3 linked regions of the Canis lupus familiaris genome follow. The protein of the gene in region 1 interacts with the protein of each later gene in a biochemical or structural test. Links are inferred from orthologs where the notes say so. Each region holds a gene or a part of one and is shown in the gene's direction. Other genes may lie near its edges.

Region 1 (9,527 bases):
AATAAATAAATAAAATCTTTAAGAAAAAAAAGAAAGCAGCTTCTTTTCTTTCTTTTCTATTTATTTCTTCCCTTTTTTGTCTGCACTCTTTGGCATTTCTGGCTACCAGCTTCTTCAGCTCCAAGTCTGAGACATATGAAGTAAAAAAGAACACTCAGGAAACTCACTACCATGTCACTCCTCAAAACCTGAGGTCTCTAACTTATCTGCCTCTTCATCTCTCAGAGTCTTTTTTTTTTTTTTTTAATATAACTTGTTCAGGGATTTCAGTGGTACTTAAAAGAGAAGGATAGGGAAAGGTATGTCTACTTCATCGAAGCCCTAACACTTTTTAAAAAAATTTTTAAGTCATTATATTTTCATTTAAGGAATTTTACATGATTCCTTCCACTGCTAATCACTACAGTTCCTCCAAAATCAGAATCATAATATTCAAAATACCCCTTTAAAAAAGAACTTCTGTTCAATCCACAATTGTCACTGTTAGTACAGAGTTCTTTCAGTTGTGCTTCTTTCATCTCCATATGGATATGAACATACTTCAAAAATTCTCCACCTGTAATCTTTGGGATCCAGTTCCTGTACTTTTAGGCCATGTTCTAGCACTTTTTAAAAGTGCACATCTGACCATGTGAGTCACTGGTTAAAATCCTTCAAAGGCTTCCCATCACTAAAGGTAAATACCAGAACCCTTTGCATGGGTCCATTGAACCACTCAGCATGACCTGGCCCCTACCAGTGGTAAATATTTAATAAATAAATTGGGGAGTGGAAAGCTCTGATATGCTGTGTTTGCCAATTTCCATGGTGTAAATACTACTATTATAGCTAATTCCAAGCTACCAATATAACATTGTCAAATATAGAACTGAAAAGAGATGCAAACAATTGACTCTTGCTCATCATTGCAGACTTATTTATATCACTCTCTCTTTATATTCCAGCCATTCCAGACTTCTTTACGGATGCATTGTGCATTCTCCAGCTTTGAGTCCCTTTTGCACACTGTTCTACCTGGAATGCCATTTTCTTCCATATCACTCAGCGTGTGTGTGATGGAGCCAGGGTACATCAGCTTACAAGTGCTTACAAGAGCAATTTTCAGGAATTTTGCAATCTGGCTGTTCACACTACAAATCAGAGCTTTCTTGTTTGTTTGGTTGTTTTTTTTAGAGCTGGTTTTTAAGCATTTACCAGCATCCTTCTGCATCTGCTGCTTTTTGTCCAGCTTATGCTTCAATCTCAAACCTTTTCCTCTAAGAAGACTTCCTCACTACCCACCCCCCCACACAGACCCACTTTCTGTTTCACAGTACCCCAAACTTCCCTTTTCCTAAAATTCATTGGAATGATCAATAATTGACTTGCCTCTCTGCTAGTATACCATAAGAGCAATGATGAAAGGGGCCTTTTGCAAATACTTTTAAAAGCAATTGCCTTTTTACCTAGATTAGCATGGGGTATTGACATAGCAGGTTCTTTTTTTTTTTTTAAGATTTTATTTATTTATTCATGAGAGACACACAGAGAGAGAGGCAGAGACATAGGCAGAGGGAGAAGCAGTCTCCCTCTGGGGAACCTGATGTGGGACTCGATCCCAGAACCCCAGGATCATAACTTGAGCTGAAGGCAGACGCTCAACCACTGAGCCACCTAGGCATCCCTGACACAGCAGGTTCTATAGATATTTTAGAAATATTTGAATGAGTGGATGGATGAGAGTAAAATTACAACCTATTACATTGTAAGCTGAGTGAAATTATGAAGAAAGATGGGAATCTGTATGAAATCTACAAAAAGTTTTCTTAGGTTTATGCAGTAGAGTCCAGGGTACTGAACATCATGGACAATCACCACGCCAAGGCAAATCTCCAAAGGAGAGATCAGTACATGAGGTTTTCATAGCTTAATGGAACAGCCCCTAAGATCATACTTCTCCCCACTGTAGCTCTATACAAAGCCATCAACTTGCCAAATGTTGCTGCTTCCTCTCCTGTATCCCTATAATCCCTTCCTCGCAAAGCTTAAAAACTTAAAAAAAATTTTTTTTTGTCACTGTTAGTCCCTTCCCCTAGTTTAAACCCTCCAACACCTTCCCATAATATCTGTAGATCCCTACCTGATCTGGCCTCTGCCTGTCTGTCTGACACCTCTTACCACAATCTCCTTGCTCCATAAGCTTCAACTTTGTTCATTCAACACATGCTGAGCCCTGCCCTGTACAAGGCACTGTATTGTTACCAATAAACAAAACAACAACAACAAAATCCCCTCTTGGTGAGGACACACAAAAGACAATAAACCTGATAAATAAGTAAATAAAAACCATGTTAGATTATGTGTACCATTTCCTAAAAATGAAGACAATGTATTAAATGAATGGGTAACAGATCATGCAGGATCTTTTAGGCCCTTGTAAGGACTTCAGCTGCAATGTCACTCCTCATAGAGACCTTACCTAATCACACACAATTCTCCCTTCAATTTCATGATATCTTTTTGTCTTCTTAATAGCACTTATTGATACCTGAGGATGGTTTTTTTTCCTCCCCAATGTATTTGCTTACTTGTGTATTATTTCTCTACCAGGAATTTGTTCATCACCGTGTCTCTCCAATTTATAACACGATCTCATACATACTCAATGAATTTGTTTAATGAAGGTTAAATATACACTTAATACGTTAACTTACTATGGGTTTTTAGTATCCCGTAGGGGCCTTTGGGAACACAATCAATTAGATGACAAGAATCTTAACATGGAATTATCACTCTAACAAAATTTGGGCTAAGGAAAACTTTGTAGGGTTCCTGTAACGTTTTAAGGTCTCACACAATTTTTCTCTTTCCAAGTCTGGTGTAAGCCCTGGTGGTGTTTTCATGGATTTGTTGTTCCTGTTTATGACTAAGGCAAGGAAACAAATCGCAGTTCTTCCGGTTTGGCAGTGGAGTCCATACACTCCATTATGCTCCAATTTTCTTTCAAGAGAAAATACGAGATTCCAAATAAGCCAATACGAGATTTAGGAGTGATCTAGCCGAGTCATACCTCTGCAGGGTTAGAGAGCCACAAGGGGTTCCGGGTGCAGACATGAAGTACAGGTGCTTTGGCTGGGAACGACCAGTAAGAATCAATGGCCAAACGCCTCACACAAAGTCAAGTAGGACTGCAGTGTGCCCACGGCGCAAGGAGCGGGAAGAGGATGGAGATCAGGGAGAGGGGACCCCCACAGTTAGGTGGCCAACTGAGGAACAGGAAAGGTGTGTTAAGAGTATGTGAAACTGAAACCCTGCGCCTTAACCAAAGGGCATTCTAGCACGGATGGCGTTTGGGGCGGGCGGGCGGCGGCATCCCCGAGGCTCCAGGTGGGCAGGTTGAGGCAGGACGGGAGAATGCCTACGCGGCTGGGCCCTGGAGAGGACATTCGGGGAGCTCCCGGCTCCCTGTCGAATCCCGAGCATTTCCCGAATCGGAATCAGGGACCTAACGGCGCCTGGGCCCGGCTTTCCCAGCGAGGCTGCACGTCGGGCCTGGCTCGGAAGCGAGCCGAGACCCGCGACACTGCGGGGTCTCCGGTTTCGGCTGCAGGAGGCGGGGCGCCCGCCCTGGCCGCTCCCCGGGCGGAACGCTGCGGAAGACCCGCCGGCGCTGGAGCGGTGCGGCAGCGGGGAAGGCGGGGCGGGGCCGGGGCGGCAGGTCGCGGCCGAGGCGGAGGAAGCAGCCGCCGCCCCAGCCGAGGGAGCGCGGCCGGGGGCTTCCCGCGGGAGGAGACTAGTCTTTCGAGCGTTTCCACCCGGTTCGAGCACGTCGGCTCGGCCCCGCCCGGCCCCGCCCCGGCCACCGCCTCTTCCCCAGCCGACTCGGGGGCCGGCGGCAGGAAGGAGGAGGGAGGGACCTGCGCCAGCGCCTTTAAGAGGCGTGGCCACGTGCTCCGCCCCCACCTGCCCCTCGCGCGCCAGTAAGGGGCGGGGTGCGAGAGGAGGTGCCGGGCCGGGAGGGGGAGCGAGGCGTGCGCTGGTGCGCAGGCGCAGTGGCCGGACGACGGACCGTGTGTTTCCAAAATGGCGGCAGCGATGGATGTGGATACCCCGAGCGGCACCAACAGCGGCGCGGGCAAGAAGCGCTTTGAAGTGAAAAAGGTTGGGTCTCGCCAGCGCCTTCCTCAGAGAGGCTAGAGAGGCGCGGATCTGGCTGGCAGGCCCGAGGATGACCGAGGCGCGGAGGAAAGGGCTTCATTTCAGGGCGTTCCTGGGACCGGGTACCAGGAAAGGAAGCTGGGGGGCGGGTCTTAGAGTTGATCGGCGTGACTGGGGCCCACTACCAATGGCAGTATTGGTTTCACTAGGAGTCTGAGGGGCCAATCACAGAGGCGCTTGTTGAGATGCGCGGGGTTGAGACTTGGCTGAGGGAGCCAAGCGCCTGAGCTGTCACTGGAGTGGTGGAGGGGTGGGGAGGAGTGGGTGGGGTGGATGGAAGGGGGAGTCGGAGCGCTGCGGTGGGTGGAGGATGGGGGCAGTGCGGCGAAAGCCGGGACCTGAGTTCCTACCGCAGTGGAGGCCTTTGAGGAGCCCGGCTGGTGATCTCCTTGCCCCGCCCCTTCCCGAAGCTCGGGGTCCCTCTGACTCTGAGGGACCCCAGCCTGGTCCTCGCCTCCTCGAGGCCTCCCTCAGCCCTCTCTCTAGTCCTCGCCCCCGCCGAGTTAAAGTGTCTCCAGTGTAACAACTCTTGGCTCTTCTGAGAGGTCTGTTGGTTTGTCACACAGCCTCCACAGTCCTGTGCTCGTTTCCAGAATCCCTCTGTCCAAAAAGGAAAAGGGGGGGGGGGGGGGGAAAGCATGGTGGAATTTGTTAAAAAGAAAATGCGAGCCCAAACCTTGTGTCATTTAGGAAGGGTTGAGTACTAGTGGCGAACGACCTGGTGACTGTGGGAAAGCAAAAATGTGGAACGTGTCTTTTTGCATGAACTGCTTTATAGTGGTTTGCCAACAGTTTGGGAGGAAAGTGCCGATTCTCACATGATATAAAATAAATCTGTTCAAAATGAAGACTCAAATAGGGGAAATGTTATTCCTGGAACATCTGGCTAAACACTGACAATATTCCCCCCTCCTAGTGCTTTTTTGGTGTTTCATTGTGGGCACTGCATGCTCAGTTACAGCCAGCAGCCATATTGAAGAATAGAAATAGGGTTTTGTTGTGTTTTTTTTTTTTTTTCCCCCGTTCAAGTTGAAGCTGTCGGAAAGTGCTAAAGAAGTTTAACTAGACGGGGAATTGCGTTCGAAAGAGATGAAGGTTTTGGAAGTGGCACCAAATTGGTGGATGAAAAGGGAGTTTGGGGATATTTATAATTGCAGAAGCCAGAAAGGTTGAATTACTTAAATACCGCTTTTAAATGAACTCTTAAGTGGAATTATCTGAACTAAATAGGAGCCTGAGCTTGTAAAAGTTTAGAACACCAGTTTATTTGATGGAAGGAACTAACCAAAATTTTAGTGAATTCTAGAATTTGTTGTGAAATAATCTTGTGAGATTTAAGTGATGACCTTGCTCTGTACTGACACTGGATAATTAGTTATCCAGCTTATCCCACGATTACCCATTTTATGATCCAATCATCATCTTAGTTCATTCTGTCCCCAGCTTTCACCTCCCCACTCATACCTTCACAGCTGCCTTGAAGAGCGTATATTTACCTTTGCAGAAATTCAAATTTGTGCTTATTAAGCCTAAAACAGGCTCTCAAAAATTATTCCCGGTTTTCTTACATTGATACAGTTGACTAAATTATTGTAAGCTGTAGGAGAAAATAAAGAGGATTCATTAATTTATGTTCATATACTCAGCCTTTTGGAAAATGGGTGAGCACACTTGTAGTCTGCTGTTGCCCTCTGATAAAATGAATAAGAGTAAGGTAATATCCCCAAGCTCCTGTGTCTGGTGGTCCTTGTGGCCAAAGAGATGATAACTGTAGCTGCAGCATGAAATCCTAGAGTGTGTGTACGCCTGTGTTACAAGGAGAGTGCATTGTTCCCCCTTTTTCTCTTTGCAGTGGAATGCAGTAGCTCTCTGGGCCTGGGATATTGTGGTTGATAACTGTGCCATCTGCAGGAACCACATTATGGATCTTTGTAAGTAACTGGAGGTGGATGGGAGGAAGTTGAGAAGGTTACAGAGATTGTGGCTATTCTGATGTGACCAAATTTCTTCCCAAGGAGATATAAAGCATAGTCAGAACACTTGGTGTCTTCTGCCTCTAGTCCGTTGGTATGTTTGAAATAGAGTAGATTTAATGATATCCTGGAGACATACTCATCTCTCAGAATAAATCTACTCAGTCTAAAGATGGCAAGCACACATTTAGAATGAGTTGTGGACACAGAGGCACTGTTGATTATTCCTCTATATTTCCCATCTCATACCCAGACTCAAAGGCAAAAATAGTGAAAGGAAAAAAAAAAAATAAACTTTGAGCTAAAATATTCTACCAAAGCTAGTTTTTGCTTGGCAAGATTTATAAAGAAAAGAAGCCAAAGAAGTAAGGAATTTCAGTGTTAGCCCCTAAGTTAAGAGGACATCGGTGCCAGCATCTAAATAGACAACTAATTGCAGTAAAGAAGTTTCATTTAAATCTACAGATTCCATCCCATATAGTAGCCAGTATATGGTGGGTTTGATTATAGCTATCCGTGGACTCCGTGTCCTTATAGTAATAGGGGCAAGTATGTTGATCACACCAGGAACAGCTGAGGTTACTTTTTCTTCCAGGTACTGAAATGGTTTGTTACAGAGATCAGATATGAGATGAAGAAATTTCAGCTTTGTAGAGTTGCATTTACAGGCACTTACTTTGAAAATTACTCACCTGCCTCTCCAGCTTCATCTTGCACCACTCTCCTGCTCACTCTGGTAGTTTCTTTGGCTTTCTTTCCATTCTCGAAGTGTCCGTGCTCTTTTTTAGAGCCTTTAATATGCCCTGTTCCCTTTGCCTGGAATATTCCCCTTCTCCCCACTACCTTTGCCTGACCCACTACTGTCCAATCTAAATATGAGCCACAAATGCAAGTACATACATAATTTAAATTTTTCTGGTACCCACATCAAAATAAAAAGAAACAGATGATTTCTATTTTATTTATCCTACTATATCCAAGAAAATTTCATTTCAACATGTAAATATTTTAAAGTGAACTATTTTACATTCTGTTTTTGGTACTATTTGAAGTGTACTTACACTTAAAGCGCATCTCAGTTCAGACTAGCCACATTTCAAGTGCTCACAGCCACATGTGGCTAGTGGTTACTTTATTGGACGATGTGGAACTAATCCGTAGTTGATCTTTAGATCTCACCTTGAACTAGCTCAGAGACGTGTTCCCTGGCCATACTTAAATACGCACAGACTATGATGGTTCCATTAAATATTCCCAAGACCGTCTATACTTTCCTTGGTAGTATTTAATTTAGTTGGTTCTCAATCATATCTATGTTTTTAACTGCTCTACTCCCAGCATAGTGTCTAGTACATAATAGGTTCTTGCTAAATACTTGTCAGTGAATAATTAAAATACAAAATAGAAGAATAGTCTGTGATCATTGCAACTTGGAAAGCCCCAATCAAATATCATGTATTGATAGTTTATTGCCCTTTGTTTCTTTGAGTTTTGACCCTGTTTACCTTTTCACACAACAGTCAAAGCAGACAGCAGCTACCATGATGTTTAATATAGATAGAAGAAACCCATCACAGAAAAACACATGCACAGTTTTAAATGTGTTTGGGTGGGGTCTTTGATTACATGCTTGCCAATTTTGTTGCTTTACATTTTCGTAAGGAGTTGTGCCCAAAGCAAATTTTATTTTCTTGGTCTCTCTTCTGTAAATAGTTAATGATTTCAAATAACCCTGCTTGGGTTTTTTTTCCTGCTTCTATATTTAAGTTATTTTGTGTCTCTCTGGATGCAAGAGAATGTGCTTTTTGGGAGGAGCACCACAGATAAAGGCTATTGATACTCTCTCTTAGAGTTGAACTCTTGAGGGATCAATGTAGGTCTTCAGTTAGACTCCTGTCTGTTTTATCATATATTTTAAATGTTAGGTGAAGTAGAATAATTGAACTCTTTTTTTTCTTTAAGTAGGCCCCAACGTAGGGCTTGAACCCACAACCCTGAGCCTGAGGGTCTGATACTCTGCTGACTGAGCCAGCCAGACACCCCAGAATATTGAACTTTTACAACAAGAAATTATAAAAGCATTTTCAAGTCATTCATTTATTTAGTTTTAATTGATAAAACAGTTTATTATTTTTATTTCTTAAGGTTTTAATTCCAGTTAACATACACCATAATATTAGTTTCAGGTGTACAATATAGTAACTCAACGTTTCCATATATCACCCGGTGCTCATCATGACAAGTGTACTCCTTAATCTCCATCACCTATTTAACCCATCCCCCTACCCACCACCCGTCTGGTAGCCATCAGATTGTTCTCTATAATTAAGAGTCTGTTTTTTATAATTAAGAGTCCTGTCTTTTATTCATGCAATGAATACTCACATCCTGGGCATTTTGCTAGGCACCAGGATAAAACAATGACTGAGATCAAGTTTTTACTTTAAGAAACATAACCTTTTGTTTATTACAGACACTAAAGAGAAGTCTGGTTGCCACAACTGGGTTTGTCTTCCTTTAAAAAAATAAATGGATTCTGGGATCCCTGGGTGGCGCAGCGGTTTGGCGCCTGCCTTTGGCCCAGGGCGCGATCCTGGAGACCCGGGATCGAATCCCACATCGGGCTCCCGGTGCATGGAGCCTGCTTCTCCCTCTGCCTGTGTCTCTGCCTCTCTCTCTCTCTGTGACTATCATAAATAAATAAAAATTTTAAAAAAATTTATAAAAAAAAAAAAATAAATGGATTCTGATTCTTATAAAAAGACTTTTTGTTAAAGCTGAAAATAAGAATCTTGATTTAGCAATGGCCATTTTCTAATAAATTCTGGCCTGGCATTAAGTGAATAATTATATACATAGCTATAAATAAATAAGAGTGATTATGGTTGTGCCCAATTGAGAATGTTTGGTCTGAAGACTTCCTGTTTTGAGTCAAAATTGATACTACATGCCCTAGTCTAGCTTTGTATTTATTGTACATTGCCCCATTTCTTTGTTGTTCTAAAGAGTTGCTGAAATGCACAATATTTCTAGGTTTTCTCCATTACCTCAGATAATCTTGTTCCAAATGAAAAGGGCATCCAGAAGGGCTTAGACCCAGCCTTTGCCCGTGAGAAATTAGCCTCTTCCTAAACCATAGGTCCATATCCCTCTTTTAAAGTGAAATCTGGGCAGCCCAGGTAGCTCAGTGGTTTAGTGCCGCTGTCAGCCCAGGGCCTAATCCTGGAGACCCGGGATCGAGTCCCACATCGGGCTCCCTGCATGGAGCCTGCTTCTCCCTCTGCGTGTGTCTCTGCCCGTCTGTGTGTGTGTGTGTCTCATGAATAAATAAATAAAATCTTAAAAAAAAAAAAAGTG
Region 2 (9,543 bases), on another chromosome or scaffold:
TCTACCATTTACCTACTGCATAACCTTGATAACCTTCTTAACCTTTCTAAATCTTATTATACCCAGGAAAACAGATGTTCTAGTATGGATGTCATGGATTTTTTTGAGAATTAAATAGGATACTGCTTGTAAAGAGCCTGTCACATACTGATGCACAGCAAATGTCAGCTATTATTGAGAAAGATTGGGCAGCCTGGGTGGCTCAGCAATTTAGCGCCGCCTTCCGCCCAGGCCATGATCCTGGAGTCCCCAGGATCGAGTCCTACGTCGGGCTCCCTGCATGGAGCCTGCTTCTCCCTCTGCCTGTGTCTCTGCCTCTCCCTCTCTGTTTCTCAGGAAACATAATTTCATAAATAAGTGAAATCTTTAAAAAAGAGAGAGAGAGAGAAAGATTGTGGCTCCTTAAGAGCACTATTTGACTTCCATGTGTTAACATACATAGAATGAAAAAAAAATTGGTCTCCTAAAAAAAGGCATTATATAAGGTGAGAATTAACCACTCTAAAGCAAATACCCCTACCTCTCATTTATCTTTCAAGATTTCCATATCATTTCTCTTTGGAAGAAAGAATTCTTCAAGAGAGCCCTCTCTTGAAGAGCACCAGGTGATGCCATACAGACTGAAGGCGTGTGTCCCGTTTTCTTTACCACCAGAGGGCACCAATCAGTCAAATCATTGACCTGTCATTATAAAACACTATGAGAAAGCTCTAGGAAGCTGTTTCTGCCACTCATTCTTCTGACAAATATATTTTGAATACCTATAACATGCCAAACATTGTAGTAGCTTGTATATATAAAAAAAGAGCTTGTATAAACAAGACCTGCCAACCTTATGGAATTTATAATCTTGAGCACCTACTATGTGTTGGAGAGGTTCTATTAGACATGGGGGTGGAGGGTGAGGTTCAACTTGTTGTTGTTGTTACTGATTGTTTTCCTGCTCTTGGCTGTAAGCCCATGAGAACAATTACTTAGTGTCTACTTTGGGTCAAACAATGTACTGGTTGCTGTGGATCCATGGCATGAATAAGACACAGTTGCACCGTACTAACAAACAATGTCTTACCTGCTAGGATGAAAAGGCATGAGACATTAGATTCTAGAGTTCCTCTGAGGTGAGAATGAAGAACCTTAAGTACACATCTTATTAACTAACACATTAGGCTATGAGCCTTCTAGACGGGTATATGTTTATTAGCCAACCACCTTAGGTTATTAGGGCCATAGTCATTGCAGATATTTACTATGAGCAGCTTCTGGTCTAGCTGACAGGTACCTGTTCCAGTGGATTGGGCTAAGAATTTACCATCTTCTGGGTCAGGGTGGGACTGTGATGAGTTTATGAGGGTGAAATGCTTTGAAGATGAACTTTCTGCCTATTTGTCTACTCACATCCTTGTTATTAAAGGTGTCAACATCATCTCCCACATTTCCAGGTCAGCAATCTTCTTGTCCCTAAATTGAATGGTGGAGGAAGGGGAGTCAGAACCATAGAGGGGGTGGTAGTCAGAATATACCTATGCCTTAAATTTTTTTTCTTTCTTTAAAGTTCCTATTTATGGATCATTTATCATGTGCTAGTCATTGTGTCAAATGCTGTAAACAGATGATCTCATTTAATATTTACAATAGTTTAAGTTGGGTATAATTAACCCTTTGTTACAGAAGCTGATGAATAAGGAATGGATAAGTGGTAGAGCCAGGGTTGGAACTTAGAATCTTTTTGATCTCAAAATTCTAAATGTGTGGAACTCTCATAGTATCCTGACTTTACTAGGAATTGTTTCAGCAGTTATCATAGGACATGCCTTCCCAAGAGAACGAACGGGCTATCCTAAAATCATGAGGATTTAAGACTGTCTCCGTATCTCACTTAAGTTATGATTATCTTAAAAGTCCCTCAGTTCCTAGTTGGACCGTCTAGCTGAAAGGATCTATAGGGGGTCAAAGTTCAATCACAATATTTTCCTTTTAAGATTTTATTTTATTTTTTATTTTTATTTATGTATGATAGTCACAGAGAGAGAGAGAGAGAGGCAGAGACCCAGGCAGAGGGAGAAGCAGGCTCCATGCACCGGGAGCCCGACGTGGGATTCGATCCCGGGTCTCCAGGATCGCGCCCTGGGCCAAAGGCAGGCGCCAAACCGCTGTGCCACCCAGGGATCCCTAAGATTTTATTTTTAAGTAATCGCTACAACAAGGCGGGTCTTGAACTCACAATTCCGAGATCAAGGGTCACATGCTCCACCAAGTGAGCCAGCCAGGTACCTAACCCCCCCCCCCCATAGTACTTCATTTTACAAATAACTGAGGGATAGCTAGAGCACTTGCCCCAAATCACAGAGAAGCGTCAGAAACCCAGGTTTAGTCTGCATTATTACTTCTCTCTTTATTTCCCGCAACTTCCTTTCCGTAGTCATGAAGAGAAGTAGCAGCGGCCTATCTGCCTTCCCCATTTCTCGGATGGGAATCGGCTCCCCCCCCCCCCCCCCCCCCCCCCCCCCCCCCCCCCCCCGGGGTGGCACACTGCCCTCCAAGGACACATGGGCTTGATATGTAAACAAGATATGTCGGGACACTTGTCCCCACCGATAAGACTTACTAGCTCAGCGTATTCTTGGCAAGGACCTATTAAGTGCAGGGCCGGGGCAAGGACTTTGTGTCACGGGGAGAGGCCTGCAGAGGACCAGGGTTCGACGGAGGATGGCTGCCGAAGCCTGTGGCTACACATGGGGAGAGGAAAAGGGAAGGCGCCGACAGCTCTAGGGCCAGTGGTCCCGTTCCCCGGAGCTCCCTAGGAACCGCGGCGCCCAGCGGCACAACTGTCATTTTTGGGCCAAGGGCATCCCCCGCGACTACCCTCGGCCCTCACAGCAGCTTGGCCCTTTAAGGGCGGGGGACACGCGTCGGCGTCACAAAGCGCCGCCACCGCGCCGGGCGGCAGGGAGGAGGCGGGGAAGTGAGAGGAGGAGGGCGGGGGAGGGAGCGGAGGGAGAGGAGGGCGGCGGAGGGAGGGGCGTGCGCACGCGCGTCTGGCCGCCCGCCTCCGAGAGCCGCCCTCCCTCCCGGCGCGCGCCCCTCCTCCCGCTCTCCCTCCCTCCTTCTTCTTGGCTCCGTCGCTCCCGCGGCGCGAGGCGCTCTCGCTCTTCTCCTCCTCCTCCGTCGTCGCCCCTCCCCCCGCGCAGCCGTCGCCGCCGCCGCCGCCGCCGCCGCCGCCGCCGTCGCCGTCGCCGCCGCGAGACCCCAGCGCGCCGCGCTCCCCCCGCCCTCCGGCCCCGCGCGCCCTTCGGCCCCGGCAGCCCCTGAGGAGAACGAGAGGGCGAGCGAGCGCGGCGCTCCCGGGCCGGCTCGGCCCCCTCCCCTCACCATCGCCGGCCCTTCGCCGCTCTCCTCCGCTTCCACCCCCTCTCCCCCCCCCAGCCAAGTTGAGGCCCCCTCCGGGGGGGGGAGGCCCGGGACCGGGAGCGAATTCCCCTAACTCCCTCAGCCCCTCCCCCCACCTGGCCCGAGTGTGAGGAAAAAGGCCCGGCCCGCGTCGTGTGTGAGGAGGACCCGGGCCGGCCCACGGGCCGTCTGGGGCCTGGTCCGGCCCGCGGGGTGTGTGAAGACAGGGGCCCGGTGCGGCCCGGCGGAGGGCGAGCGCAGGGGAGGGGCCTCGTCCGGCCCGGCCGGTGCGAGAGGACTGGGGCTCCGGCCCGGCGCCGCCGCGATGGCCCAGCAGCAGATGACCAGCTCGCAGAAGGCCCTGATGCTCGAGCTGAAATCCCTGCAGGAGGAGCCGGTGGAAGGCTTCCGGATCACCCTGGTGGATGAGTCCGACCTCTACAACTGGGAGGTTGCCATCTTCGGACCCCCCAACACCCTCTACGAAGGCGGCTACTTCAAGGTACCCCTGCCCCCTCCCAGGCCATGCTTCCCCGGGCGGAGGCCTCCGCTCCCCGCCGCTTCCTGGGCCAAGAGTGAGCGCGAGTGTGTATAGGGGGCTCCTCACCTCGGCAGCCCCCTCCCCCCATCCGTGGAAGCAGGAAGGCCTTGCTCACCAAGTGCCTTTTCTTTGTCATGGGGGCGGGGGCTGGAGGCCAGACTGCACCGGGAAATAGGAAAGCCTCTCTGGCTAGGGTAGTGGCTACCGGAGGAGGAGGGCTGTCTTTGTTTTGTTTTCCCAGCTGAGGAGGGTGTGTGGGAAAGAAAGGTGGTCTTTCCCCTCTCGTATGCCCATCAGAACCGTCACCGCGCCGGCTGGAACTGCCCCAGAGGGCAGAGTGACCTGCACTTATTGGATTGAACCTTTCTTTTTTTGGGGGGTGAGGGTGGGGGAAGGGTATTAACCTGTCATCACAAAGGCTCTCTAGTGACCTGACACTTTGAGGATGTGATGGGCTTCTTGCGTGGTGGTAGTTCCAACTTCGCATTCCAGTGGGCGGTAATGAATAGGACCCTAGGGGTGGTAAACAAGGATGCCTGCGTTTTCATCCCATTATCTACTTGAGGGAACGCTAATTTAGCCTCCTTTCTGTTCTCTTTCTCTGTTTACTTCAGTGGTATTTCAAAATGCCCTTTGTCCTCACCCTGCCACCAACTTTACTGGCTCCCCCCCCCCCCCCAATGTAGAAATATCTGCAGACCGTGGAACGTGTTCTGTAGGGAGGTTGCGAGTTTCCCACCTCAGGGAGACAGAATTGAAACGTTTTTATTCAGGTGGTTAGCTCTAGCAAATGGGGTGGTCTCACAGATGAAAAGTATCATCTGAGGTGAGTTGGTTTCACTGAGAGGGACTGATCCTTAGTCCCCCTCCTGATTTTGGAACAGTGATTGTTCCTGAATCCAGTGGTTTTCTTTTTTTTTTTTTTATTCCCCCCCCCTTTTTTTAAATTCTAAGATAACTTGGCAATATTGAGTTTGTTTTTGTTTTTACTTTACCAATTTTGTAGGGACAAGTCATAGATTGAAGGTAGAATGCTTTAAGTGGTGGAGGCAGAGACAGGAAATAAGTGCTAGGGAATCCATTTAATTTTATTTCCAAAATTAAGTAAAATAGAGCAGTGAGTCAATCTTTGTTTTGAAGGGAGGGGCTATCTTGGCATAAGTTTTAAATGAATATCTTAGTCACGTAGTCATGATGTACATTTTTAGGAACTACCCAATTACTTTTTTCTATCCTTCTAAAGGTAGAGAACCTTCAGTGTCAGCTTTGAAATTGGGTCAACTTTGTAAAAATGTGAAGAATTGACGGGGGTGGGGGTTGATGTTTAATAGTCACGCTTGTGGTAGTCTGTGAATACCTAGTAAAAGCACATTTTTAGAATATTGTGTAAGAGCAGTACTTTTACTAACTATGTGCTTAATCTCTTGTGGTCACCATAAACTATACCTTTTAGATGCAGCTACTAAGGCAAAGTTATTAGTGACAAAGTGAAGAAGATATTAATGTGTCTACTGGCTAACTTAAGTGACAAAGTTTAATTCCCGTAAAGTATTAGTTGGGACAATTAATAGTCAAGGTGAATGGGTACTAATTAGAATACTTCCACCTCACTGTTTTTTTAAAAAAAAAAGCAGTGTCAAAGGAATTAATAGTTGCAAATTGTAATATTTTTGCTTAAGTAGCAGGAAAAGGATTGTGGAGAATCCTCTGTGTTTGAAATAAGTACTATGGGAAGAGGATTCCCTACTATGGCAAACATTGATTTCAGTTAAATGTTTTGTAATTTCTGTCGTATTAAGAAAAGATGGTTGAATTTCAATGTATATTTTAGATTTCTTAATCTTTTTACCTTTAATTGTGACATTTAAAAACATGAAAATTCTTAGGATTTACTGTTGTATAAAAATTCTGTCATTTTGTTTTATTCCTTGTTAGATGGCTTTTTATCCCAAAAGTCTTTTGTTAGAAAAAGGCAAATTTATGGTCATGAGTAGTTAACACTGGTGGTAGGTCTAAAACCATTGTTTTTTTTTATTTCACTGCTTTTGTCATAAAACAAGGCTTTTAGTGTGTTCCACTACAGCTGCAGTTAAAAGTTGGCACAGACCTTTTTCCACCACTGTTCTACCATATCAAATGATAGTTTTTGAATATTTAGTATAATTTATTTTCAAGTTAAATTGTTTCCTCTGTTTTGCATAATAGTTCCTGAAGGCAGTGGGACTGAATTTTTCATGTTACTCCTTTAACTTTCACATATTAATAGGTTTCTTACTGATCTTTCTTTACATGAAATCCTTGGCTCCAGGCTGTTTTAACTATGGCATCCGTTGTGGTAGAGATTGGTGAGACCTGTATTTCACAAATTTTTTTCAGTTCATCATAACCTTTGTTTTTTAAGTATTTCAAGTCTGTGTTTCTTAGCTATGGGGCTAAGATGGGTAGCATGTATGACGGGTAAAGGTAGTTTCTTGTGCCTGTTTTTCTGGATATCATAAAATCTTTTTTTAAAAATTTTTTTTTATAAAATCTTTTTTTGGCTTTGGTTTTTGTCCAGTTTCTTGATCTTTTGGACTTGCTGAGTGAAACATCTTTGTTGCTTCTACTTTTCCTCTAGGGGTCAATTGTTACAAAACGCAAAGTATGAGATGACTTGGAATAGAGAACACCTCTGAATTTAATTTTGCTACTGTGGAGCGAGTTGGAATTTTATTATGTTATTGGACGAATGAATTGTTGATCAAGTGAGCAGTTAATGATAACTTTTAACAAATTCACTCCATTCATTTAAAAAGCACTATCTTGGGCAGCCCAGGTGCCTCAGCGGTTTAGCGCCGCCTTCAGCCCAGGGTGTGATCCTGGAGACCTGGGATCTAGTCCCACGTCGGGCTCCCTGGATGGAGCCTGCTTCTCCCTCTGCCTGTGTCTCTACCTCTCTCTCTGTGTCTCTCATGAATACATAAATAAAATCTTTTTTTTTTTTTTTAAAGCACTATCTTGGGGATCCCTGGGTGGCTCAGCGGTTTAGCGAGCCTGCTTCTCCCTCTGCCTGCTTCTCTGCCTCTCTCCGTGTCTATCATGAATAAATAAATAAAATATAAAAAAAAAATAAAAAGCACTATCTTTTCAAATAACTCCTGCTAATGATTATAACAGTATGGCTGCTTAGGTATAGAAGAGAATCTCTTTGGGAGGTTCTTTGGAACTCCTCCTGCATTATTTATCTGAAAGCGTGGTAGGGTGGAGTCTAGAGATCAGAAAAAAGAGAGTGCTTAGGGGTTCGTGGCTGGCACAGTCGGTAGAGCATGTGACTCTTGATTTCAGAGTGGTGAGTTCGAGGCCCATGTTGGGTGGAGAGATTACTTTGAAAGAAAAAGTGTCTTTTTCATAATGTTCATAGTATAAAAGTTTAAATGATACAGAAAACTTAAAATATTGCAGTTAACTTTTTGTAGTTTTTGTTTTTATTCAATATATATATATTTTTAAGATTTTATTTATATATTCATGAAAGATAGAGAGGCGGAGACACAAGCAGAGAGAGAAGCAGACTCCATGCAGGGAGCCTGATGTGGGACTCCATCCCGGAACCGTGGAATCACACCCTGGGCTGGGCGGAAGGCAGGCACTAACCGCTGAGCCACCCAGCTGTCCCTTTATTCAATAATTGTATTGAGAAAGTGAAATAAATATAGGTTCTTCCATTTTTGGAAAACTTCAAACTGATAATTTAGAAAAGTATTTGTCATATACTAAAAGTTTTCCATAATCAGCTTCTTTAATAGAAATCAAAATGTAAGTCTGATAAAGAAACTTTTCAGGGGCGCCTGGGTGGCTCGGTCGGTTAAGTGCCTTCAGCTCAGGTCATAATCCCAGGGTCCTGGGATCAAATCTTCTGCTCAGTGGGGAGTCTGTTTCTCCCTCTTCCCTCCCCGCTGCTTGAGCTCTTTCTCTTGCTCACTCAGATAAATAAAATCTTTTAAAAAAACCATTTAATAATTTGTAAAACTAACAGATACATATTATTTTCATTTATTCTGGAATAAATAAATCTATTTCTTGCCCCCTCTCAAAAAACAAAAACAAAACCCTGCGAAATTTAACATTTGGGCCTGGCAGTGTCCTTAATATTATGACATACTGTGTTTTGTGACTCTTAATTCCTAATATGTAGTTGAAACAATTATTTTATGAAAGTGTTTCTTAGGGCAGCCCCGGTGGCCCTGCGGTTTGGCCCCGCCTTCGGCACAGGGTGTGATCCTGGAGACCCGGATCCTGTCCCACGTCGGGCTCCCTGCGTGGAGCCTGCTTCTCCCTCTGCCTGTGTCTCTGCCTCTCTGTGTCTGTCATGAATAAATAAATAAAATCTTAAAAAAAAAAAAAAAAAAAGAAAAGAAAGTGATTCTTAGAGGCACCTGAGTGGCTCAGTGGTTGAGCATCTGCCTTTGGCTCAGATTGTGATCCCAGGGTCCTGGGATCAAGTACTGCATCAGGCTCCCCTCTGCCTCTCTGTGTGTCTCATGAATAAATAAATAAAATCTTTTTAAAAAAAGTAATTCTTAGTCTTTTTATTATGTGGATCTTTTAAATTTAAATTTTATTTTATTTTATATTTTATATTTTATATTTTATATTTTATATTTTATATTTTATTTTATTTTATTTTATTTTATTTTATTTTATTTTATTTTATAGAGAGCACAAGCAGGGGGAGCAGCAAGCAGAGGGAGAGGGAGAAGCTGGCTCTAGGGAGCCTGACGCCTGGGCTCCATCCCAGCACTCTGGGATCATGACCTGAGCCAAAACCAAGAGACAGATGCTTAACTGACTGAGCCACCCAGACACCCCTATATGGATCCTTTTGAGAAACAGTTTTCTTTGGGAAAACATTGGTACATGTGAACTAGTTTGTATACCTTTTCAGAGGGTTTACTGACCCTCTGACAGGTTAAGAATTCCTGTTTTATGTGAATAAAAGACACCTGAGTTACATGGTGTAACTTTTCCAGTGCTGCTCTCTCTCTGCAAACAGGAGTGTGGTCAACGACTGTACAAAGACATTGTGTACTCTGCTAGGGGAAGTATATTAGTATACATTTAGTACATTATTGATAACGACATTATTGAAAATTAGGACAACATTAAGTATCCAACAAAAGATAAGTTATGGTAATTTCATGTAATGGAAAATGTTAACATTAATGCTTGTGATTCAGTGTTACCTTTTTTTTTTTTAAAGATTTTTTTTAAAATTTATTTATGATAGTCACAGAGAGAGAGAGAGAGGCAGAGACATAGGCAGAGGGAGAAGCAGGCTCCATGCACTAGGAGCCCGATGTGGGATTCGATCCCGGGTCTCCAGGATCGCGCCCTGGGCCAAAGGCAGGCGCTAAACCGCTGCGCCACCCAGGGATCCCTCAGTGTTACCTTTTAAAAATCTTAAATTTTCTTTTTTTTTTTTAAGATCCTATTTATTCATGAGAGACACACACAAAGAGAGGCAGAGACACAGGCTGAGAGAAGCAGGCTCCATGCAGGAAGCCTGATGTGGGACTCCATCCCGGGACTCCAGGATCACACCCTGAACCAAAGGCAGATGCTCAACTGCTGAGCCA
Region 3 (9,543 bases), on another chromosome or scaffold:
GAGTCCACAGGCACGATCCTTGCACTTGTCATGAAGAATCCACGGCACCTGTTACGTGCTCCTCAGTGGAACACGATTTTGTGTAAAGTTCGGTAAAAATTTTGGATGCTTGTTTTTTTTTTTTAAACTTTTATTTATTTATAATAGTCACAGAGAGAGAGAGAGAGAGAGGGGGCAGAGGGAGAAGCAGGCTCCATGCACCGGGAGCCTGACGTGGGATTCGATCCCGGGTCTCCAGGATCACACCCCGGGCCAAAGGCAGGCACCAAACTGCTGTGCCACCCAGGGATCCCGGATGCTTGTTTTTAAATAAGACTCATTTTTTCTTTCTAAAGGTTTCATTATTTTTTAAGTCATCTGTATACATAGCATGGGGCTTGAACTCATGACCCCGAGCTCACGAGTCTCATTCTTTAAGACTGAGCCAGGCAGGCGCCCCAGAGGCTGCTTTTCTATCCGAGTCCTTAGCTCCGAATATCCTTTTGTGAGTTCTGTGAGCATCTTGGTGGGTGAACGGGCTTGTTGGAAATCCCAGCCGAGCGCTGTCCCGGCACGGTGCACCTGAGGACAGGTGTGGTGGGGATGGTGTTCCCGGGGGGGGGGGGGGGGGGGGGGGGGGGCCAGAGGGAGGGGACAGCGCAGTGAACCTGCAGAGTCGTCCAGGTGAGCGTGGCGCGTTCTGGGATCCCAGGAAACTAACTGCTCTCCCTCTCTCGCTGCCGCACCCCCGCCAGCTGGAGATGGAGGACGAGGACACCATCGATGTGTTCCAGCAGCAGACAGGAGGCGCGCGGGAGAGCGGCTGGCCCTAAGGGTGCCGCCTCTGCAGGGACCGTCCCCACGTGTCCTCGTGCTCGCACCTGCTGTGGAATAGTGAACCCGTGACCATGCCAATCACAGAGGAGTCTGCGGAAACCCGAGGACAGTCACCAGAATTACTTTCCTCTCTGACGTTTCGCAAGGGCAACTCAGAACTCTGCGGGGGGAGGGCGCCCACAGCTGAAGTCAGGCCAGTCACACTTGTCTTTGTTGGGGGGAAAGGAGTGGTGAGGGTTTTGGGGTTCGTTTGCTTTCATTTTTGTTTTTTCCTCCCTCTAACTTTTGCCCCCAAATGTGTGGTCTGAATGTCCACTTTTAGTCTAGATGGGGATCTGACCCCAGGTGTTGACCCCCCCACCCCCACCGCCACCCCACTGTTTATTCCAGTGGAGACCTCATGGCACCACAGAGGGGCTGCTGCTGTTGGACGAGTTTTGGGGCCGGTTTGGGGATGGGAAACAATCTCACGATGTCATACAGGCACAGGTATTTGAAATGGTAAATACTGCATTTCAGGAAATAGTAAAGTCAGAGGGAAAATACTGGAAGGCTTTTTAAAAGGTGAAAAGGAAAATAAGCAGGTCTTTCAGACCCTTGGCCCCGATGGAGAAGGAAGCCACCCCCACGCATCTCACTGGGCCCTGGGGCCGTGGCTGCCCGTTTCTCCTCTGGGCAGTTAAGGTCTCTCTACAAAATCTGGATTCAGCACTGCTGAGTTTGCAGCTGTTTTTGCGTGAAAGACCTGCCTCAGAGTGTGTTGGCGGTGGAGCCCCTGCAGCGGTGACTTGGCGTTGCCCTCGTGGACGTGGGCTGCGCTGCTTTCCCAGTAGGTGTGGGGTGTACGCTTTAGGACGTGATTTCGTTCTGTACCAGTTACACGGCTGCTTCTCCTGCTGCTGCGTGCGCACCACCTGCTGCTGGTCCTAGTCCCCGAGCAGGACTGCGACATCGTCCCTCACCTGCCTGAAATCTTGCCGAAGGCCTTTGCGTTTCCTTTGTGTTCTGCTGTCCGGGCGAGGGTGGGAGGTCGGCTGGCTCTGTTCTGTTTATTCACCAATTTGTACATGATTTGTTGTCCTTTGCTACTGTAAACAGTAAATATAGTTTGCTATTCTGTCTCTGGGCTTGGATTACACGCTGCGTGTGGCCGAGGGGGTGGACTGTCCCCGTTCCGTGTCCGGGCCAGCCACTGGGGCGGCCACTGGCATCCTGAGCCCGGGTGGGGAGGAGTGGGTATGTCCCTGAACCCTCTGCACGCCGCAGGTCGCCCGTGCCAGGCCTGGGTTTCCTGCCCACGGCTGCATCGGCTGCAGTGCCCCGGCCTTGGCTGCGCCCACCGGGCATCACGACCTCGCCTCTCCTGGGGTCCCGGGTATGGGGGGCGCGTTGTGGGGCGCGTGAACGTGCACGTTAGTCAGGGCTTCTCAAGGTTTTTGTTGTTTGAACCTAAAGACTCTTTTCCTTTGTGCACTGCATCCCACTCACTTCTGTGAAGTCAGTGCTGGACCACGGTTCTCTAGGCCTCGGCCCTGACAGACACAGACCTCGGAGGCTGCTTTGCATTGTTTTTTGTTTTTTAAGATTTTGTTCATTTATTCCTGAGACACACAGAGAGAGGCAGAGACACAGGCAGAGGGAGAAGCAGGCTCCCTGCGGGGAGGGACGTGGGCTCCACCCCGGCCTCTGGGTCACGCCCTGGGCTGAAGGCCTGAGTCCCCCCCCCCCTTCTTAAATTTGGCCCAGTTCAGCGATGCCGCCTGCCGGCCGCCTACTGCAGCTGCATCCACGAGCAGGGGCCGCTCCTTGCCCTCGGGACGGGTTTTCAGGTTGCAGGAGGCCCGTGATGACAATAAACCAAGGACGCAATGGATCCTACAGAACATCACACGGTGGATTCTGTGGGAGGGTATGGAGGCCGAGGCGGCGCGCGGACGGTCTGGAGCTGAGGACGCCTCTAACGGTGCACAGGTGTTTGCGTGGCGGAGCCGCAGAGCGCGACCTGGGGTCACTCCCTTTGAGGTCAGGAAGACCCGGGTTCTGAGAAGCACCGGCGCGTCCCAGATCCCAGATCCCCGGGGTCAGTGGGGACGGAGCCACCATATCACTAGGGGACCCGCGGCCCACTGCTCCCCACAGCGGACAAGCCGGAGGGGCAGGGAGCCCGATGGGGTAGCGACGGGACCCAGGCCCTCCCCTCACCCGGGCAGCAGGTGAGCACGAGCAGGCACGAGCAGGCACGAGCAGGCACGAGCAGGCCTTTGCCGCTTTGCACCTCTCTGAGGACGCGGGGGTCTGGGCAATCGGGTCCTGCGGGGCCAGGCCGGCGGGAGGGGCCTTCGCGGTCCGCGGGCGGGTCCGGCCCGAGGCCCAGGGACGTCCGGCAGCTGCTCCCCGCGCCTCCTGCCTTGACTGCGCCGGGCCCGGCCGACACGCCAGGGGAGCCTGTGGGAACCGACCAGCGGGTCTTCAGCCTCTTAACATGGTCATTTACTTATTCGGGAGAGACACAGGGAGGGGGGAGAGAGAGACGCCGAGACCCAGGCGCGGGGAGGCGCGGGGAGGCGCAGGCCCCACGCAGGGCCGACGCGGGCCTCGATCCCGGGACCCGGGACCCGGGGTCACGCCCTGGGCCGGAGGCGGCGCCGACCGCTGAGCCCCTCCCCACGGGGACGTGATCCAAGAACGTGCAGCACAGACGCGATCCGCCCCGCCGCCCCCGCCCCGGCCTCCGTGTCCCTCCCTGGCCCCCGCCCCCCCGTGATGTAACAGGCGGCCGACCCCGTCCTCCGCGGCCCTCCCCCGCCCCGGGGCCCGCGTGACCCTCCGTCCCGGGCCCGCGTCCCCGCCCGCGGCTCAGCCGCAGGGACCCGGCGCCGGGGAGCCGCTGCCTCGGGGACCCCGCGGGCGGGACGTCGCGGCCACCGCGCCTGCGCAGCCCCCCGCCGCCCGCCCCACCGCGCAGGCGCCCCCGCGTCCCGCGCCCCGGAAGGGCTTCTGCGCCCGCGGCGACCCGGAAGCGGCCCTGCGGCGGGCGGGAGCGAGCGCGCTCGGGGCCGGCGGACCGCTCGGCTGTCGCCCGGACGATGGCGGGGACGGCGCTCAAGAGGCTGATGGCCGAGTACAAGCGTGAGTGCGCGCCCCCCGCCCCCGCCCCCGCCGCCCGCCCGCGCCCCGGCCCCGGCCCCTCCCGACCTCCCGCCCCCATCCCCGCGCCTGGTCCCTGCCCTCACCCCTGACCCCGTGACCCTCTGCCCCCCCGGCCTGGTCCTCTCTGGGGTCCCGGCGGCCCCGTGTCCCGGCCGCGTCGCGAAGCCCTGGGTCAGGCCCCGGGGCGGAGGGGGCCGGGGGGTTGGCCCCGGGCTGGGGCTGGGGCTGGGGCTGGGGCTGCGGCGGGGGGGCCGCCTCGAGACCCTCCGCCCCCGTCGGCGGGAGGACAGGGCGGCCGGGGGCGGGGGCGGGGGGGCCGCCGGGAAGGTGGAGCCGAAACTGCTCGAGAGAAACGGGAGCCGCGCATTGTGACGCGCCCGAGGGGACAGGTCAGAGGGGCCCCGCCTGATGGGGCCGCGTTGGGGTGAGGCCCGCCCCCTCCCCCTCCCCCTCCCCCTCCCCCTCCCCGGGCCGAGCTCGGGACCGCTCGGTGCCTCCCGAGCCAGCAGCGTGTAGCGTGTGGGGATGTTTGGGGACGCGAAGGGAGAGGCCGGAGCCCAGGACCAGAGCCCAGGACGGCCCGTGTCCTGCCGCTTCGCAGCGGCACGTTCCCTCGGAGGAGCTGCCGGCGGGGCTGCCGCGGGCCTGCGGGTGGCTCCGAGCTGCTCGTGCGGCCGGGCCCTCCCCGTGGCCCTCCCCCTGGCCCTCCCCCTGGCCTCCAGCGGCCCCGGCTCCCCCGGGCGGAGGCCCTGCAGGCTGCTGCTCTTACCGCGGCGCCGGCCCGGCGGGGAGACTTGCAGAGGGAAGTCGGAAACACACTAAAGTGGCTGGTAAATGTGCGCGGAGCTCAGTCCCTCAGCAGACGGCCCGGCTCGGGGAGCCTCGCGTCCGGCGGGAGCAGGGATGGGGGGGGGCCCTTAGAAGAGATGCTTGGTTACCTTCTGCCCGGCCCAGTGCCCTCTGCGGCAGGGACAGGGGCACGTGCAGGAGATGCGGGGCCAGGGTGGGCAGGGGCGGGGTGGCCGCGGGACACGGGCCGGGGGGCGCAGCGCAGGGGGCACCTGCCGGCCCTGCCGCCTGCTGGGTGTAGTCGTGCAGCCCGGCGGCCTCCACTCTGCGGCCAGGCCTTACTCTCTCCCGTCTGTGGGGACGGAATCGGGTCCGGGCCGCCGCTCGGGCGCAGACTCTGCCTTGTCCAGCTGCGTTTCCTGAGGATGTTCGCGTCAGCAAAGAGTGCTTTTCCTTGTACCGTATCCACAAAAACCTCGTCTGTGAGTCCGACCCTGCTGTAGGTTTGCAGCAATAAGACGCAGAGAATAGCTGACTTCCACGTCTGTATCGCAGAACTGTGACGTGCGCGTTTTTACACGTGTTTGTGTGGCATTCTGGGGTATCTGTGGAAGGCACAGCCCTGAAGATGCCCCCTCGGCTTGCTGGCCCCTACTCATCCCATCAGACGCAAATCCAGCGCTGCCGTGAAAGGCGTAACGCACAGGTTCCAGGAGAGCTGACTTACAGGGAGGGAGGTTAGCCTGGATCGTTGGGGTCTGACCCCAAAATCACAGGAGGAGCTGAGACCCTGGAGGAAGGCAGGAGAGGTGAGGCGGGAGGGGAGGCCCCCCTGCTGTGGCTGGCTGGGAGGATGCACACATGGCCAGGAACAGAAGCACGGGGTGGCCCGCGGCACCTGGGACTGACTGCTGGGTGCTGGCGCTCGGGATCCTGGAGCCTCCGTCCCACAGCGGCAGGGACCCGGGTTCTGCCTGGAGCCTGAATGAGTTTGGGGGGACACCTGCCTTGATTGCCTTGTAAGACTCGAGGCACAGAACTGCCTCCCTCTTCCGACATATGGAGACTGTAAGGTCAGCAGTGGGTGGTGTTTTAAGCGTTGAGTTTGTGGTGACAGCAGTAGAGAATGGAAACTGTGTCTCTGAGGGGAGTTCTGTTGTTGCTGGATCTCAGAAACATAAAATTCCATTTCATGATCCTCCTCTTTTGTGAATTAGCCTCTAGTTGGTCTTACCGTACGGGTGACATATCCATTGTAAATGTGGATTTTATAGAAACAATCTCTCTGTGAAATGGGGTTTCTTTATTTATTCATGAGAAAAAGAGGGAGAGGCAGAGACACAGGCAGAGGGAGAAGCAGGCTCCATGTACCGGGAGCCCGACGTGGGACTCGATCCCAGGACTGTAGGGTCACACCCCTGAGCTGAAGGCAGACGCTCAACCACTGAGCCCCCCAGGCATCCCTGAATGTACTTTAGTAGATTATTGGGATAGGGTTCAGGGATATTTTTCATGTTGGGGAATAGTCCCAGAACTGTAGAATTTTAGGGGTGGTGGTGGAACCTTGGCTAGGATTCTGTTCAGCCTCTGGTTTTTCACATTTTGCAGGAAATTGAGTAATAAAGGCAAAATGACAAAAAAAAAAAAAAATTAAAGGCAAAATGATTTGCCTACGTTCTTAGGACCAGGAAAAAGGTGTTAGAAAAAGAACCGAGATTTTTTTTTTTTTTTTTAATTTATTTTAAAGTAGGCTCCACATCCAGCATGGAACTCAGTGTGGGGCTTGAACTTTTGACCCTGTGATCAAGACCTGAACTGAGATCAAGAGTTGGACAGTTAACTGACTGGACCATCTAGCTGTCCTAAACCCATATATTTTATTTTATTTTTTAAATATTTTATATATTTGTTAGAGAAAGTGAGCGAGCACAGGAGCGGAGGCAGAGGGAGAAGCAGACTCTCCCCTGAGCAGGGAGCGTGACTGGGACTCGATCCCAGGACCCAGAGATCATGACCCGAGCCAAAGGCAGACACTCAACGTTTGAGCCACCCAGGCGCCCCAGAACTTATGTATTTTAAATGGGATCTTTTCTTGATGTTTTCTTGTCACACAGCATCCAGCCTTTCCGAGAAGTGTCAAAAATAGAGTTAGGTATTGGTTTGGGGGGGTCTCCTTTAACAAAGGAGCGCAGGCCGAGTGGCTTAACAAAACAGAAGTTTGTTGTCTCTCTGTCTGGAGGCCCGAAGGCCCAGGTCCAGGTCGCCTGTTGGCACGGCCACACCCTGGGGGCTTTCGGGAAGAATCCATCCTGGCCTCTTGCAGCTCCTGGTGGTTGCCAGGAGTTCCTGCTGTTCCTTGGCTGGGGGCCGCGTAACTCCCATCTCAGCCGTCGTCGTGGCTTGGCCGTCTTCCCCGAGGGAGGTGCCAGTCAGTGGTAGGACTCACCCCACTCCAGCGTGACCCCATTTTTCCTGGAGTGCATGCGCAGACAAGGTCCCACGCACAGATTCTGGGGGACACACGCAGCCTCGTGCCATGTGGAGTAGCCTCGGACGTGAACGTGCAGAACTGGGCACGTGCTCCTCCCTTCGCAGTGCTGCTCCCACAGTGTCTGTGTCTCAGTTGCTGGCCGCCACAGCCCTCCGGTTTTCTGGGCTCGAAACCTTAGATTTGCCCTTTTGCCCTTGATGACTCCTTTTGTTTTATATTCACATGTCACCTGTCGTCCTGGAGACCCACACGGTCCATGCCACTCACCTGTGGCCTGGATGACTGCCGGGACGGTCCTGACAGGTTTTCTGCTTCTGCTCTTGTCCCACTTTGTTCTGTCCTCAGCACAGCAGAAGATGCCATTAAAGCTCATCAGGTCACGTCCCTCTGCCCAGGACCCTTCGTGGCGGCAAGAGCCAAAGTCCTGGCGATGACCCCTGCCTCTCGGTTCATCGGTCCCCTGCACTGCCACCCCGACTGGCCGGGTCATGGGCGCATGTCTCCCCTGGGTAGCACCCCCAGCACTCATGCCCTGCTCCCCCCTGGAGAAACCTCCTCTGAACCCCCGGACTCCACGTGTCCTTCTGGTTACTGTCCTCTTTCCTGGCAATATGTCTTTTGAGCTTCTCATAACAACTCTTTATTATGAAGGGAATTGTGTAAGAGTAAATGTGTATGTTCAGATGAAAAGTGAATGGACATCTGTACCCGCGGCACCCAACTTAGGAATCAGCACTAGCAGTTAACTTAGAAATCTTCGGGCTCCTTCCCTCCAGCCCTGCAAGTTACTGCTGCTGAAATTTGCTGACTGGTTCCTTTCCTCTTCTCTGTCTTCTTACTGCTTAGTATACTTCTAAGCAACATACTGTGTATTTTTGCCTGTTGTACTTAATAATTGAGATGGACTCACACAGGTGTGTTCTCACAACTTTCTCTGAGCACTTTATGCAAGGTCTGTATCCGGAGTGTGATACAGTCACGGAGCCTTCCCGTGATCCGCCTTCCTGGATGATGCCAGACCGGTTCCCTGGGCAGTTGCCCCGGGCACAGCGCATTGAATGTTCACGGACACCTTGGTGTTGGGCAGGGTCTTTTTTTACCAGCCTGGTGGGTGAGGTGCGGTTCCTCGTGGTTTTGTGTGTTGTGATTGAAGTTGAGCATCCTGTCACGTTTATAGGTGGTTTATATTTTTTCCTTTGTGAAATCTGTTTGAGTCTTGTACCAAATGTCCATAGAGTGGTTTGTCTTTCTTTTACTGATTTGTAGGTGTTCTTTGTATGTTGTCTATTCCTTTATAGATCCCTAATCCATTGTTGGCTATATATAAGTATTTTATCCCTGTTTGTGCTTTGCCTTTTCGGTCTTTGTGGTGTCTTTTTTTCCCCCAGCCATCTTTTTTTTTTTCTTTTTTTTAATAAGCAGTTTTGTTAAGGTATAATTGACATTCAATAGGTTAATATACTTTAAGTGTACAGTTTGATGAGTTTTGGTGGATGCACACGCCCATGAAGCTATTGCCACAATCAGGAGGATGGGTGTAACCACTGCCCCGTGAAGTCTCCTGCTTCTAGAATCCACCTCTCCTGTGCCTTCCTGTGCCCCCAGGTCCCAGGCAACGACCAGCGGATCTGCTTTGAGTCACCATAGATTGTTTTGTCTTTTGTCAGGATTCTTTCATCCAGCGTAATTCTGTAGCCTCCCATCCTCCCAAGTAATGTCCCATTGTTGTATGCTCAGTCCGCATTATATGGGTGGTTTCTAGTTCTTGGTGAATACAAATAAACCTGCAGGAACATTGGTGTGCATGTCTTTCTGTGGACATATACTTCCATTTCTCTTGGGTAAATGGGTCACCTGTGAAGTTCATGTTTAATTTTTAAAGAAACAGCCAAACTGTTTTCCCAGGTGGTTGTACCATTTAACATTTCTACCAGGAGTGTAGTAAAGAGTTCCAGGGGCTTCACTACTTGGTCTGCACTTGGTTTGTTTGTTTGTTTGTTTGTTTATTTATTTATTTATTTATTTGCACTTGGTTTTTAAAATTTTAGCAATTCTGTTGTGTGTATAGTGGTATTTCATTGTAGTTTTTAATTTTTTTCATTTTTAAGATATCTTAATTTATTCTACAGTGTTCTGTGTTTATTTTTTAAATTAAATTTTTAACTTAAATTTATGTAAACTAAAAAAAAAACCCAAACCGGAACAATTCACTCATTTCTCCCATTTTTCCACTCCCTTGCCTCTGGCAATCCCCAATCTGTTCTTTGTATGTATGCCTTTACCTTGTTGTTTTATGT

What was found. The genes of interacting proteins can lie anywhere in the genome.
Region 2: the proteins of RBX1 (region 1) and UBE2R2 form a complex in vitro, tested with the Homo sapiens proteins (10 studies listed by BioGRID). The link is inferred for Canis lupus familiaris from reciprocal best matches to the Homo sapiens genes RBX1 and UBE2R2.
Region 3: the proteins of RBX1 (region 1) and UBE2G2 form a complex in vitro, tested with the Homo sapiens proteins (3 studies listed by BioGRID). The link is inferred for Canis lupus familiaris from reciprocal best matches to the Homo sapiens genes RBX1 and UBE2G2.

What each region holds. Positions count from the first base shown.
Region 1 is NC_049231.1:25,233,301-25,242,827, reverse strand, and holds the start of RBX1 (E3 ubiquitin-protein ligase RBX1), read left to right. Parts: upstream 1-3,980; 5' UTR 3,981-4,062; coding exon 4,063-4,140; intron 4,141-6,049; coding exon 6,050-6,128; intron 6,129-9,527. UniProt on the Homo sapiens protein: E3 ubiquitin ligase component of multiple cullin-RING-based E3 ubiquitin-protein ligase (CRLs) complexes which mediate the ubiquitination and subsequent proteasomal degradation of target proteins, including proteins involved in cell cycle progression, signal transduction, transcription and transcription-coupled nucleotide excision repair.
Region 2 is NC_049232.1:50,788,020-50,797,562, forward strand, and holds the start of UBE2R2 (ubiquitin-conjugating enzyme E2 R2), read left to right. Parts: upstream 1-3,315; 5' UTR 3,316-3,712; coding exon 3,713-3,889; intron 3,890-4,043; exon of another isoform or gene 4,044-4,307; intron 4,308-9,543. UniProt on the Homo sapiens protein: E2 ubiquitin-conjugating enzyme that accepts ubiquitin from an E1 ubiquitin-activating protein, and catalyzes its covalent attachment to other proteins by an E3 ubiquitin-protein ligase complex.
Region 3 is NC_049252.1:38,404,948-38,414,490, reverse strand, and holds the start of UBE2G2 (ubiquitin-conjugating enzyme E2 G2), read left to right. Parts: upstream 1-3,819; 5' UTR 3,820-3,902; coding exon 3,903-3,945; intron 3,946-4,359; exon of another isoform or gene 4,360-4,374; coding exon of another isoform or gene 4,375-4,390; intron 4,391-4,568; exon of another isoform or gene 4,569-4,796; intron 4,797-5,281; exon of another isoform or gene 5,282-5,564; intron 5,565-9,543. Other genes in the region: SUMO3 (small ubiquitin-related modifier 3), read left to right, coding at 735-812. UniProt on the Homo sapiens protein: Accepts ubiquitin from the E1 complex and catalyzes its covalent attachment to other proteins. In vitro catalyzes 'Lys-48'-linked polyubiquitination. Involved in endoplasmic reticulum-associated degradation (ERAD).